Linked DNA regions of Oreochromis niloticus. The protein of the gene in region 1 interacts with the protein of each later gene in a pairwise test. Links are inferred from orthologs where the notes say so. Each region holds a gene or a part of one and is shown in the gene's direction. Other genes may lie near its edges. The genes, in order: gpn1 and gpn2.

What was found.
Region 2: the proteins of gpn1 (region 1) and gpn2 interact in binary tests that used the Homo sapiens proteins (3 or more experiments, as listed by UniProt). The link is inferred for Oreochromis niloticus from reciprocal best matches to the Homo sapiens genes GPN1 and GPN2.

The regions. Positions count from the first base shown.
Region 1 is NC_031965.2:38,255,273-38,263,380, reverse strand, and holds the start of gpn1 (GPN-loop GTPase 1), read left to right. Parts: upstream 1-4,989; 5' UTR 4,990-5,029; coding exon 5,030-5,179; intron 5,180-5,890; coding exon 5,891-5,984; intron 5,985-6,208; coding exon 6,209-6,315; intron 6,316-6,402; coding exon 6,403-6,440; intron 6,441-8,108. Other genes in the region: uncharacterized protein LOC102076855, read left to right, coding at 1,874-2,989. UniProt on the Homo sapiens protein: Small GTPase required for proper nuclear import of RNA polymerase II (RNAPII). May act at an RNAP assembly step prior to nuclear import.
Region 2 is NC_031976.2:7,480,686-7,487,768, reverse strand, and holds the start of gpn2 (GPN-loop GTPase 2), read left to right. Parts: upstream 1-3,955; 5' UTR 3,956-4,057; exon of another isoform or gene 4,058-4,328; 5' UTR 4,329-4,363; coding exon 4,364-4,783; intron 4,784-4,934; coding exon 4,935-5,091; intron 5,092-5,357; coding exon 5,358-5,518; intron 5,519-7,083. Other genes in the region: gpatch3 (G patch domain-containing protein 3), read left to right, coding at 583-1,043, 1,198-1,372, 2,590-2,649, 2,741-2,862, 2,952-3,079, 3,451-3,643. UniProt on the Homo sapiens protein: Small GTPase required for proper localization of RNA polymerase II and III (RNAPII and RNAPIII). May act at an RNAP assembly step prior to nuclear import.

The DNA.
Region 1 (8,108 bases):
AAAACAAAGTAATGCACAGAATCCATCTGTAAAGGCAGACACTGCAAACTAGTTTAGGCTGGGAATGCTTTGGAGTCTGTGAAAACAGAGAAAAGGCGCTCACTGCCCTTCAGCCGCGCCTGCAGCAAAGGGAAGATATATCAGTTTGTCACCTCATGGTTTGCAGTTTTTATTTAAAAAATAAAAAACAGATTTCCCATGCATGAAAGGAACTGCAGATATTCAAAAGTCTGTTCAGCTCATTTCTATATCTGTACTTTCATAGTTTCATAGTCCAGCCTCTCAGTTCATCCTTTTGTTTGACCAGTTCGAGCTCCTCCCCTGTAACTTTCCACCAGGCGTCTTCATCAGAGGACAAACAAGCCTCGGCTCTGTGCTGCAAACAGACAAATTTCAGGCCAAACTGAACCCAGTTTTTAATTCACGCTTGTCCACATCTGCTCCGCTCTGAGGACAAACTTTCTGTTTCTGTGTTTTAGAAGAGAAAACGACAGGAGTCGGTGTGGATCTACCAGCTTCACGCTGAGATGAGATCAGCCTTTGTCTTCTCTGAACTTTCTGGCTCACTTTACTCATCAGAACCCCAAAAAGGATAAAGGTACAGGTAGGAAGGCAATTTCTATCAATTTGTTTTGTTTCCAACCAACTACTTGCATTTATTTGTAGTACAATTATTAATATTAATTGACCTTTAAGTATTTGTAGGTAAATATAATTACAGATCACATAAACTGAAACTAATTACTGGGGAACTCTGCCCTTAGTCATGGGTGGTACGATAAAATATGGCCAGTTTCTTTCTGAAACACCTTCCGAAAGAAATGAATGGTGGTTTCAGACTTTTGCACTTACTCGACTAAGAGTACTGGTGTAGTATTTCTTACAGCGGGTTGTAAGTGCCTTTATTTCAGTAAATCTGCATCCTTTACTTCCTTCTTTCTCTTCTCTGAATCGGAAACCGCGTCGAATGTTCTGAATTAGTTTCATGCTGCTGTCATCAGACTGCCTGAGTTTGTAATGGACAAGTTTAAGGCTTCAGTTGAGCGTGCTCACAGAAAGCTTCATTCTCTGCAACGTGCTGTCTGCGTTTGATAAGATATGCTTTGCATGTTTGTACTGTACTGTACTGTTATTTCACCTTTTTCCAAAGGTATTAAAACACACAAAGACACAATAATAATAATAATAAGTAGGAAGTTCCTATAATTTTGTCACTTTGTTCATAATCTGGTCTTTGGAGAGATCTGCTTCTTGGAAAGAAAAGCCACTGGACTTCTTTAAGTTTCATTCGAGAAGCTTCTTTGCTGTAAAACTTAATGGTGGAGAGTCCCTGGTATTTAAACTCTACTGGGAGTTCTCCTTAAGAGGGTCGTTGACCCGTTGATCACGTGTGTGGGGGTCACTGTCAGCAGTGGTTTTGGGTGAAACCTTGCCTCACTCTGTCATGTGACTAATTGAAATCAGATGACACCAAAAAGTGGGCATTAAGGCGTCTGGGAAGGATCTCAAAACTGGATTATAGATGTCAGACAGTCAGTGTCGTAAGCCCCGCCCTCTGTCTAAAGAGGGTCGTTCACTCCATCTGTCTTCTCTGTCCAAAATGTGAATATTGGCATCCTTGAAAGAGTGACCTTTGCCTTTAGATGCAGCTGTACACACATATTAGTCATAATGATGTCATAATATATCAGGCATGATGAAAGTTTTCTGCATGTTAATTGGTCATTTTATACGATGGGAGTTACAGGTTAACTGTGCCAATCTAAACATCAGGAGTGTGTTTCCAAAACTGATCAACATTTATTCTGTTTCTGTGATCAGAGAAACACCTGGAGTGTTAATCAGTCTTCCCTGCACACCGGGAGTGATCATCATGGGGTCCAACAGCTCAAAGCGTCTGAGGCAGAAAACATTTGAAGGTCCCAAAAGACCAGAACAGCGAAAGGAATTTCCTTCAGCTGTGACACTGGTACAACCTCACCCGAGTGAGGAGAAGTTATTCAAGGAGCTGCAACACGTGGGGCTAAACTATGACTGGCTCCTTCAGGGGCACCAAAGTCCTGAAGCTGAAAAAGTACTACAACCGCCGCCAAATATTCCACAAGTTAAAACGCAAGAGGAAAAAGGCACGCAAACAGACAGGGGAAGTCTTCTGAAAGAGTCGCCTGTCGCGACCAGGTCTACGGCAGAAAAGGAGAGCAGCGGCAGAGAACTTGTGGATGGCATAAAGGCTGTATGGACCCCAGGCGAGCTCTACGGTCTTTTAAGAGATGCTCCTGACCCCATCAAAACACCCAGCGACTTCCACAGGTGGCTGCGTTTCACCTGCATGGTGTATCAGCCGTCTCCTGCTGAGCTCAAAAAGTTGCTGAAGTTAGTTTATAACCACAAGTGGGAAAACGTGAAGGAACATTTTGACTGGCCAGGAGTGGATGGCGAGGCCAGGTGGCGACGCACTTGTGATATGACAGCATGGCTCGACACACAGTGCGCCACCTCGATTAAAAACGCAGCCTGGAATGACCCTGAATTTGTGCCCCCTTGGATGATTCTTCAGAAACCTGGAGAGTCGGTGGCAGATTTCACTGAACGTTTCCACCGACTGTGGAATTCCACTATGAGTGAAGCAAATGTTTTTATGTTTAATCTTTACCTTGTAAATAAGTTGCAGCCTCACGTGGCGAAGCTTTTGAAGGATCATGTTGAGTGGGAAACTTTTACTTTTTCCAAGATCAAATTTATTTTAGAAAACATGGAATTAAAGGGCATGTTTAACTCAAAACATCAGCCATCTGTAACTCATCCGGGAGACTGGAGATCAGATCTGTTGGCACTGCCAGAGCCACCTCGAAGCAGCCAGACACACAGGAATAAGAGAAAAGATCGCTGCTTTTACTGCAGCAAGTTTGGACACTGGGCCAGGGAGTGCAGAGCCCGACGTCAGGAGTACTCACTCGAGTACAGTTCACAATGGATTGTACTCGAGTGAGCAACTGAGCTGAACTGAAAAAAGTAACACACAAAGATCTCATTTTCATACAAACATGTCACTAGGGTAGCTTTGTATGATTGACAGTTCAAAATAATCCTCATGGACTGACCACATTATAAAGTTAGCTTTGAGTGAGAGAGGAGCTCAAACAGCTTCTCCTAAACTGGACCCCTGCACCGTGTTTGTGCTGTTGGAGCCTTGTGGAGCATTTTTAATGACATCATGTGACCAATAATATGGCTGCTGTGAGGTCACTGTACTAACAGACCGTCCAAGGAGGCGGAGCTCCAGTTTGAAACTTTAGTAAACGGATGCAATTTGGCAATCAAACAAAGAGTGCTGGATGATACCTCAGCACACTCCTGGTACAAACAAACAATGACTGTGAAAAGAATAATGATGAAGCTTGAAGCTGAAAACAAAGGGTGACATCACAGTCGCTACATCCAGGTTTACTGGGTTTAGGATTTCTGCATCAAGGTCCAGCAGAAGGTAAAGAAGGATTATTTTTAATAGTGACTCATGCAAAGCTGCTCTAGGCTGAAATAATAAAAATATGAAATGATCTGAATAGGTCCATCTCAAGTTCACTTAAGGAAGCACAGGAGCATTTCAGGCAGTGTTTTTAGTTTGACTTCAGTCGAATAAAATATATTTGAAGGCCTAGTTTCAGTTCACTGTGATTGTGAGAGCTCACTGCTGTATTTCACATCCGACTGTGACCTGCAGTGAAACGCTGCAGAACAGATTTTGGAGAGATTTTCTCATTTGGAAAACAAAAAGTCAAGGACAGAACGCTGTCCTTGACAAAATACAGCTGCAGATCACAATGTTCTACAAATAAGAGAAGCAGTGACAGCTCGGTGAGTCTCAATCCTGCTCAGCTGCAGCTCCTGAAAGTGCTCGTCGTCAGATTTCTAAATCTTTCATTTTGTCTTGAATATTTTTGTAGTTTTGGTGGTTTAAACTGGAAAATGAATTTCTGCTTTGCACCATAATCAGAAATCTTTTACACTTTTTGATGTTTTAAATTCTTTTGATAGCTGACTCTGACTTTTGATGTTTTCTTTTTTGTCGTATCCTATTATTTCATATTTTTGGTCTCATTATTTCTCATTCTTAACTTTGATTATTATATTGAATGGCTGGTGCTCTTGTCTGAGATAGACTGTGTTATCAGCTGATTAGTATGAGGCTTTTGCTTATGGATGGTGTATTGTACTTTTAATCTGCACTGAAGCTTTAATTACATGTATGCTCACATTTTTCATTTGCAATAAAATCACTGAAAAGGCTGGCTGTTTCACCTCGTTCACATTCATTCATGTGGCAAAATTTAAAATCTACACATTTAAAATCTGTTTTTATGCAAATGTTTATTACATTGAAGTTTTATCCACTGATGGAGGAGACACGACAGAGGTCTTATTGTGAAAATCATCCACCACACTTCTAGCAATTTTCATTTGACGAAGAATTGACTTCTTTTAGAGTTTTATTCAAGGAAAGTAAAATTTCAGAATATTTCTAGACTATAATGAGAAAAATAAGTATTTATTGGTTTGTAATTTTTTTTAAGGGACTGCTAGTGATACATGTGAAAATTCCAGTTAGGTATATTAAAATTAATTACTTAAAATATTTGCAAAACATAAAACTAGTAAAGTCAATATTCTTTTAAAATACGGAAATATATATAATATAGAAATGATTAGTTATTTATATACTGCGTTACTAATAAATTATAAACTACTAAAATGTACTAAAAGTAATGTTTCTAATCCACAAAACATAAGAAAAAAATACCTATTTTTTAAGACCCGTGAACAGCATAAATATTTTACTCTCTGCAGTCATGTGTTTTTTATTTATATTAATGTATCTGTAAAATATTCTAATAAAGTTTCCTTGTGTTTTCATCATGGTTTATTAAACACACTGCTGCCCTCTGGCTTTCGTTTTGAACACCGCGTTTCCATTTTACGACAGCGGCTGCGTGTGGACGGCAGCCGGTTACTATAATATCTCTCCAGCATCATGGCAGCGGCGGCGGAGTGTCCCGGCACTGATGCGGCTTTCCCGGAGACGGCAGGTGGCAGCGGGGTCCCGGGAGCTGCTGTCGGGGACAAACCCGTGTGTCTCATCGTGCTCGGCATGGCGGGCTCCGGGAAAACCACCTTCGTCCAGGTGAGTCCCGGTCCCTTAGCGGCTAACGCAGTTAGCAGCATGAGTTAGCTTCTTCAGAGAGACCGGAAGGTAAATAAACGAGCAGCGACAGGTACAGGTTTGTGAGCAGGTTTACATCAGAGGAGGAGGAAGAGCTTTTTTTTTTATTATTTAATTCCAGCTAAAACTCAAGTACCAACCAGCTTTCTGTGGCACACCGAGGACCACACGAAGCCCCCAAACTGCGCACAAACCCATTGGCATCAAATAAAATCAGTTTGATTTCAGTCAGGTAGGAGAGGCAGCAGAAGGTTAGTTATCCTGCAACATGAAACAGCCTTTAATAAAATAACTTAGAGAAAGCATAAAAGCTCAATAGAATATAAGTAAGGTCAGCATGGAATGGATTACATAGTATTAGCACATTTAAATAGAAAACAATAGAATATAGAGTAGAGTCAAACTTTACTAAATTGTATTTAGCCCAATAAATGTTAAAATAGCTTACTAAAGTCACTAAATTAAACCAATGACACCCTGTGACTGATGTTTGCTTCTCCTTCAGTCTGAGCTCAGAGATGAAGATTTTCTAAGCGGCTGATGTTAACATCTTCAGCTTCCCTCCTCTTCCTCAGAACATTTCCTCCGTATAAACAGTGTTTCCTGTTTGTCTGCCTGTTATGAAGTGAGCCGCAGTCACGAGTAATCTGAGTACTTTTCTGTTTCCTGCAGAGGCTGACGGCTCACCTGCATTCCCTCAAAGCTCCTCCATATGTCATCAACCTGGACCCCGCCGTCCACGAGGTCCCTTTCCCTGCAAACATTGGTAGGATCCATCTGTTTGTTGGATGCTACTTATTTAAACAAGAACTTAAAACTCAATGTGGGATGCTGGATTTGCAGAAGTGCGTTTAATCTTTGCATTACACATCACAGCGAAAGCAAATAACCTTCACGTGTTTTTGTGATTCAAACACAGCCGGAAAGACTTTTAGCTCCACGTCATCTTCAGCGTCTGTTAGTTTTCTCTGTCTGTCCTCTTGCTTTCAGACATCAGGGACACGGTGAACTACAAGGAGGTGATGAAGCAGTACGGCCTCGGACCCAACGGTGGCATCGTGACGTCACTCAACCTGTTCGCCACCCGTTTTGATCAGGTGACTCACAAATCTCAACATCTCGCGGTACGAATGTCCATACCAGACAAACCATTCGGATCCTGACTTTGTGTTTGTTTTCTTCAGGTGATGCAGTTCATCGAGAAGAAGCGACAGAATCACCGGTCAGTATGTAGCTGCTTATTTGCAGCTAAATGCAGTTAATGTTTTAAGGACTGTGAGGGACCCCAGCGGCTTCCTGTGTGTGGTTGTGATGCACAACACTCCAAAATATTAAAGGAACACCTTAAAACACAGCAGATCTCCATCCATCCATCCATCTTCATCCGCAGATCTCAATGAGGGTAATAGGTTAGGAATAATGGAAATTGAAATGATCCGCCTGCACTGGGCTAAAGTCAAACACACCCCAAAAATCAAAGTAAAAAAATCGATGCAGGCCCGTTTTGTTCAGATTTCATTGCAGGAGTTCAGAAATGATTCTCGGGAGTTTGAATCCCCCCCACGTGTTTATATGAATGCCTGACGGCGCCGGGGTGATGTCCTAAGATAAGATAAGATAACCTTTATTAGTCCCACACGTGGGAAATTTGTTTTGTCACAGCAGGAAGTGGACAGTGCAAAAGTTACGAAGCAAAAATTAGAATACAATAAGAATAAATACTGTACACAACTGTACATAATAGAATAAAATAAAATACTGTATACAGTAGAATAAGATAAAATAGAATAAAATATACAATAAGATAAAAATAGAATACAAATGCTATATACAACTGAGTAAAAATACAACGATGCCAGAAAAGATTATTGCACTTAGTGTTATTGCACATGTGTGGATGTGTGTGTTTGATCAGTTGAAGTCTTTGTTGTGGAGTCTGACAGCAGTGGGGAGGAAAGACCTGCGAAATCTCTCCATCCCACACCGTGGGTGCCGCAGCCACTGAAGGAGCTGCTCAGTGCTGTCACAGTCTCCTGCATGGGGTGGGAGATGTTGTCCAACAGGGATGACAGCTTAGCCACCATTCTCCTGTCACTCACCACCTCCACTGGGTCCAGAGGGCATCCTAGAACAGAGCTGGCCCTGCGGATCAGCCTGTTCAGTCTCTTCCTGTCCCCAGCAGAGATGCTGCCGCCCCAGCAGACCACACCATAGAAGATGGCTGAGGCCACCACAGAGTCATAGAAGGTCTTCAGGAGTGGGCCCTCCACTCCAAACGACCTGAGTCTCCGCAGCAGGTACAGCCTGCTCTGCCCTTTCCTGTAGAGGGCGTCTGAGTTATGAGTCCAGTCCAGTTTGTTGTTCAGATGAACACCAAGGTACCTGTAGCTGTCCACAGCCTCGATGTCCATACCTTGGATGTTCAGTGGTTGCAGTGGAGGATGTTTGTGCCTGCGGAAGTCTACCACCAGCTCCTTGGTTTTACTGGCATTGATCTGGAGGTAGTTCTGCTGGCACCAGTCCACAAAGTCCTGAGTCAGTCCTCTGTACTCCTTGTCGTCCCCATCAGTGATGAGGCCGACTATTGCAGAGTCATCAGAGAACTTCTGCAGGAAGCACTGGGTGGAGTTGTGGGAGAAGTCTGCAGTGTAGATGGTGAAGAGGAACGGAGCCAGAACCGTTCCCTGTGGGGCCCCCGTACTGCAGACGACCCTGTCCGACACACAGCCCTGAGTCCTCACATACTGTGGTCGGTCGGTGAGGTAGTCCAGAATCCAGGTAGTGAGGTGATGGTCCACTCCAGAGTTCTCCAGCTTGTCCTTCAGAACCGAGGGAAGAATAGTGTTAAAGGCACTGGAGAAATCAAAGAACATGATTCTCACAGTGCTCC
Region 2 (7,083 bases), on another chromosome or scaffold:
GAGACTATATGCTCAGTGCATCATGAGAAGCCTCAGCCCAGCACCTTGAGCCTGTAGCAAAAAACAATTATGACTATCTTGTTAACTATAAGCTTTATCAATAAGGAAAGTTTAAATCCTAACTTTCAACGTAGAAGAGGTGTCTGTCTCCTGGATCCACTGGGGAGGATCTGACAGCTAAAGGCTCTGACTCCCATTCTACTTTTGGAAACTCCACAAATCATAAGCCTGCTAAGAGTGCTACTGGGATGATATTAAACTTTAAGGTCTTTAAGATAAGATGGCGGCTTTGTATGTGAGGAAAAGGATTTAAAATTCAGTTCTGGTTTTAACAAGAAGCCAGTGAAGAGAAGCCAGTATGGGGAAAAATATGATCTCTCTTTGTGGTCCCTGTCTGCACTCTCGTTGCAGCGTTTTGTTTTGTTTTGGTTTTCACTGAAGGCTTTATGGGAAGTTTTTAGGAGAACCTGACAGTAAGGAATTACAATGACCCAGCCTAGAAGTAAGAGATGCATGAACTTTTCACATCATGTGGTTTTTGTCACTGTTTTTACATGTATTATTATTTTTTCTTTCTTTCAGATGACGGATCTTTCCCCTATAAAACAAAGTATGAACAGCGGCACCGTGTTTCCTTAACGGAGCGATTCACAGAGGCCGACCTCAGAAGCCTCTCCGAACTTAATCCACCTGCTCTGATGCAGAACGGGAATGTGGGCACACCCGTAAAAGTGTTTCTCCAGCTCATCCAAGCCTGCCGCCTGCCTCCACGCCTCATTCGGAAACTGGGGCTCACTTTCCCCAAGACGAGTTCCAACCGTCGCTATGGGAACGTGCCCTTCCAGTACCATGACACTTGCACACTTCCAGCCACAGAACAGACTGTATTAACAGCTGCTGGACATGAAATATCAGGACCAGGTACTTTGCCTGGTTCATCCTTAGGATCGAGGCAGCTGGATGATAACACAGAAACCACTGAGGCTGATGAAGCACAGAAAGAAGACGCAGAGGAAGAGGATGCACAGTCGAATGCTGATGATGTAGGTTCAGTTCATACCTATCAACCAGCTGTCTGTCAGCGTGTCGGATAAATGTATTGGTTTTAGTTTGTGTCGGCTGTCCAATAGGCGCAGCCTAACTAAAACCATCATCCCTTTATTGTAGATGCTAATTTCTTCATGTGATTGATTGTAGGATGATGACTGCTGTGAGGAGTGGGAACGCCACGAGGCTTTGCATGAGGATGTAACAAGCCAGGAGCGAACCAAAGAGAGACTGTTTGAAGAAGAGATTGAGCTGAAGTGGGAAAAAGGAGGCTCAGGTCTGGTGTTCTACACTGATGCTCAGTACTGGCAAGAGGAAGAAGGAGGTAGGCACCAAAAACACTAATTCACTTTGAAGAAAAAGGCTTGCATACTATATAATGTTAATAAACGAGCAATGGGGTGTGCAGGTTATTAAGCAAACTTTAGGTAAAATAGGTGTGGAAAGGCAAACTGAAAGTGTGTGTATGTGTTAATTAGTATAAGAAATCAATTCAGTCGAGATGCTGAAAACAAAATTCTGCCTTACAATAACATACATTAAAAGATAATTGCAAATATACTCACTGGCCGCTTTGTTAGATACACCTCTTCAGTAGCTTGCTAATTCAAAAATTCCATCAGCCAATCACATGCCAGCAACTGAATGAGTTTAGGCATGCGAACGTGGTCAGGACGACCTGCTGAAGCTTAAACCAAGCATCAGAATAGGGAAGAAAGATCGTTTAAGTAACTTGAAACATAGTTGTTGCTATCAGACAGGTTGGCCTGAGTATTTCAGAAACTGCTGATCTTCCGGTGTTTTTCGCACACAACCATCTGTCGGGTTTACAGAAAACGGTCCAAAAACAAGAAAATATAAAGTGAGCAGCAAATTGTGGGTGAAAATGCCTCATTTGGTGTCAGAGGAGAACAACCAGACAACAGTAGTTTAAATAATCACTTGTTACAAAAAGGGGGGGCAGAACAGCATCTCTGAACATGTTAAACCTTGAAGCAGATGGGCTGCAGCAGCAGATGTCCACACTGAGTGCCACTCCTGTCTGCTAAGAACAGGAAACTGATGTTCACAAAAGTTCAACAACTCTGGGCAAAAGAAGACTGGAAAAAAACTTTGGAAACATTGGAACATCAGAATTGGGAGTAACCAACATGAAAGCATGGATTCATCCTGCCTTGTGTCAACGGTTCAGGTTGCTGGGGTGTGGAATATTTTCTTAGCACACTTTGGGATTCTTCGTACCAACTGACCATCATTTAAATGTCACAGTCTACTTTTGTGTTGCTACTCACCATGTAGATCCATCTTTTTGACCACAGTGTACCCATTTCCAGCAGAATACAAGCCATGTGAAAACACTGAGATCATCATAAACTGGTTTCTTGAACATGACAATGAGTTCATTGTACTCAAATGGCAGTCACCAGATCTCAATTCAATAGAGGGATGTGGTGTAACCAGAGATTTACATCATGAACAAATAGCTAACAAAACAAAAGCGACTGTGTGATTACATTCATGTGTGTTTCTCTCGTTTTTCAGACTTTGATGAACAAACTGCCGATGACTGGGATGTTGACATGAGTGTTTACTATGATAAAGGTAACTTTTTTTTTTTTTTTTTTACCCTAATTAACTAAACTGTGCTCTATTAATGCAGGGTCAGATTTCCTTTAACCAAGTCCTTTTACAGATGGAGGTGACATGGATGCTCGAGATTACGTCACAATGCGGTATGAAAAGAGGCTTAGGGAGGGTCATGAAGATGGATCGGGGCACAATCAGTCTATTGGCCGCTTTGAGAGGTTCACTAAGGTGAGGAGGTTGCCATCACATATAACTTAATCTAATCTTTCCTCTTGTTACACGTCAGATAAATGCACATATATTTTTTCTCTGATTAGGGCTTTGGGCGTCGTGTGATGGAGAAACAGGGCTGGAGGGAAGGTGAAGGCCTGGGAAACAGCCAGATTGGAATTTCTGAAGCACTTGAAAATGAGGGGCAACATCCCAACTGTAAAAGAGGCTTTGGGTGAGCATGAGCACAATCAACTAAAGCTGCGTCTACGCTGGAAACAATTCCCTTTTCGACTTTGCTCTGCAGCTGACGGCAGGTCGCTTGTTCCAGGCTCAAGTGTCAATCAATACTGCTATTCTTCACTCTCATTGGTAGTTGTTTCGATCCTATGGAGGAAGTTAAAAGAAGTTAACATAAGTTTACATCCAACCCGCTTCCCATCGCCAGCAGTTATTTCGGCCTTAGTCACTTGAAACTGCAGGATGTCACTCACTTTGCTTCCAGTGTGGATGCTTAACAGCCACCTTCTAATATAATTTTAAGCTTTGGTATGTGAGGCAGGTGATGCTGATGCTGTGGGGGGTTTTTCCTTTTCTTTTTTGCAGGTATCATGGAGAGAAATTGGTCTTACATCCTGTAAAAAAGGCCAGAACAGATTATCATATAACTACAGTGTATGATAAACCCAAAGACATAGACAGAGGCGATACCTTGCTGAGACGGCAGCCGAACACAAGTATGAAGTACAGAGGGTGGCAACCAGGTGGCAGCATTGGCCCACAAAGATCACAAAGATGACTTTAATAAAATTTTATTGAAACCATTTTAACGTCATGGAAGTCTTTTTTTTTTTTTTTAAACACACACCTATATCTGTATCTATAGATATATATATGTATATGTTAAAATCCTTTTTTTCATGTGATTAGTGTCTCTAATTTTTAATCTCACACAAAGTCTAGTTTTCCTATATTAACTTATATACATGTGTATAAATTGTACCAAGCTATTAATCACGGAATAATGTGGTGTGTGAGCAAGGATGAGATGATTTAGAAAAAAATGTAGTCTGAAATTAGTCCTGCACGTCACGCCATGTTAACAACCGGCTTTTATTTTGACACGCCAGTTACGTAACTCGGATGTACTTCCGAGTAGCGTTAGCATGTGTTAGCGACTTCTATACGCATGTAAATATAGCGTCAGCAAACGGTAAATATCAGTCAGTATTGCTGTAATTTACAGTAAAAGTCAGCATTATATTAAGCAACTGCACATATGTTTTGAGTAGACTTACGATTTATCGTACATAAACCTTTAAATAGCTACTTTGTACAAGTCTTGTCTGACCGGAGTGGATGGCAGGTCCAGGTTTATTTAGTGTTTAATGAGTTTTTAATGTAGTTGGTGGAAGAAAAACTGAACTCTTGATACCAAATCCTGTGACCCTGCCAGCCAACACCCCATTTGGTACTCTGCACAGGACATCCTAGCACCATCTAATGCGAGTCTGAAGCCATGTCCAAGCAGACACAAGTGAAGCCCTCCCTGCGTTTCGGTCAGGTGGTTATTGGGCCCCCGGGTTCGGGGAAAACCACCTACTGCCAAGGGATGCAAGAGTTTCTGACTCACCTGGGACGCAAGGTGGTGGTTGTAAACATGGATCCAGCCAATGAAGGGATACCTTATTCATGTGCGGTAGATGTCTCAGAGCTGGTGACTTTGGACGATGTCATGGAAGGTTTAAAGCTGGGGCCCAATGGTGGACTTCTCTACTGCATGGAGTACGTGGAAGCAAATCTGGACTGGTTGGAGGAGAAGCTGAAACAGTACAGTGACTGTTACTTCTTGTTTGACTGTCCTGGACAGGTGGAGCTCTACACCCACCAGAGCTCAGTGAAGAATATCTTCTCACAGCTGGCCAAGTGGAATTTCAGGGTGAGCTTCATCATTATTATCGTATTTCTGCTGAGCCTTCACAGGTACTACCTTACCCACACAGCCATCATGTAGACACAGCTTTAATACAACAAGGTGAATTCATAATAACATCATAAGATAAATTTTGTGCGGATGTCCTCTCTTTTAGCTCACAGCGGTGCACCTCGTGGACTCTCATTACTGTGCTGATCCAGCCAAGTTCATTTCGGTGCTGTGCACCTCGCTGTCTACAATGCTGCATGTCGAGCTTCCCCATGTCAATGTTCTCTCCAAGATGGACTTGATGGAGCAGTATGGCAAGCTGGGTGAGTTAATAAGGGTTTGCTTTAAACACATTTTACAGGCTGTAGTCAGAGATTATCTGATTTGTGCTGGATAAATGTTCTAAGACAGTGAGATTAAGACATTAAAGGTGTTTTTACAAATCACATTTCTTTGTTTCCCTTGTAAGAAAGTAGGATGAAAGAAAAAAAACTATACCGGCATTGTTTGCCAGCTGATTTGTTGAATTTCACAACTGGTTGCTATTCATCATCATCCTTGGTAACATTTGTCTTGTATTCTTTTCCAGCCTTCAACCTTGACTTCTACACAGAGGTCATGGACCTGACCTATCTTCTCGATCACTTGGCTGCAGACCCCTTCTTTAAAAAATTCCGCCACCTAAATGAAAAGTTGGCAGAGGTCGTACAAGATTACAGCCTTGTGTCCTTTGTCCCTCTCAATGTACAGGTACCAGTGCTGCTTTTGGTATTAACTGCAAAAGAAGAGCTGGTAATGTCTGTTTAACTCCCAGTAAATTAGAATATGCTTCGGTGAATTAAATAAATAAAATAAGCTGCTTTCACACATGAAGTTCTGGCAGTTTTGGGAGAATCTAGTGGGGATAATTTCCACAGTTATCCTTTCTCACAGTCTCAGTCTGCTTCAGATGTGCTGGCCTGCCTTATTCACACATGCCAACATCACACGGGCTTTGCACTGGGGAGTTTGTTGGTTAAAGACCAGTGGAATGTGTAATACATTGCTCTAATGTTGAGTGACTAACAGTATCCAACATTTCCTACACTTATATCGAGAACTGACACCACAAGATTTCAGTTTGGGGGTGGCACTGTCGCCTCACAGCAAAAGGGCTCCTGGTTCCAACCTGACGGCCAGCTGGAGCCTTTCAGTGTGCAGTTTGCATGTTCTCTCTGTGCTCGTGTGGGCTCTCTCCGGGTACTCCAGCATCCTCCCACAGTCCAAAGACCTACACGTTAGGTTAAACTGGCTATATAGTGTGAGTGATTGTCTATCTCTGTGTCAGGGACTGGGGACCTGTCCGGGATGTACCCCATCCAGCGATAGCTGGGATACGTGCCAGCCCTGACACAACCCTGAATTGGATTAGCGGTTAAGAAAGTGTGTGGATGGATGGGTTCAGTTTGTGTGGACCACTAAAAGGTCTAGAGAGTACGCATAAAAAACAAATGCCATGTCTTGACAGTGAACTCGACAGATTTTCATTGTTATCACTTAATTAATGTATCTACATCTTTATTTGCATGCTTCTGTTAGATGTTGAGTGCAAAACAAGAGTTCTTTCTTCTGAAGTAGTCATAAAGCATCCATACTGACCAGACGTCATGGTTCATTTGTGTTAGCCCTTTAAGTGTTTCTAAAAGTCACATGCCTCATATTTCATTGTTTGAACCGTTAAATCATAAATCGCTTTTAGCGTTTCAAATTGAAGGTTGGATCAATTTTGTGCAGATGGATTGGGGGAGAGGGCTGTCTGCACTCTGCACTCGTTGCCTGACATCGCTTCTTTATAGAGAGTGATTTGATCCTGTGTGTTCATGGAGACAGGAGTCTAGACCATGTGCCATCACTGCATGTGGCACCAGTGAGTTATACATGAGGCGGGTTGGCACTCATGCTTTGTACATGCTCTTAGTTTAAGCAGCCATTAGTTACCTTGGTTACCCACTTATGGTGCCTAAAGCAGCCAAAAATAAAAGAGCTTTCGACTTTGAGAAAGAGAGAAATGCAAAGCTGCAAAGTGTTAGAGGTCAGCGAAGTTTGAGGATTTATTGCTTTGCATGTGCGTGCTGCTTATGTCATTATGACACCTTATAACACACAAAGAAGAATCTGAGAAATGTGTGCTTACACATTTTCAAAAAGGCTTTGTCATCCTCTTTCTAAAGTGAATCTCACTTGAGGGAGAAAAGTAAAGAGATTTAGGACATGTGAACTGCATAAGATATAATTAGATTTGTGAATTTTGCTTAGAAGCAATAAATGCAAAGATG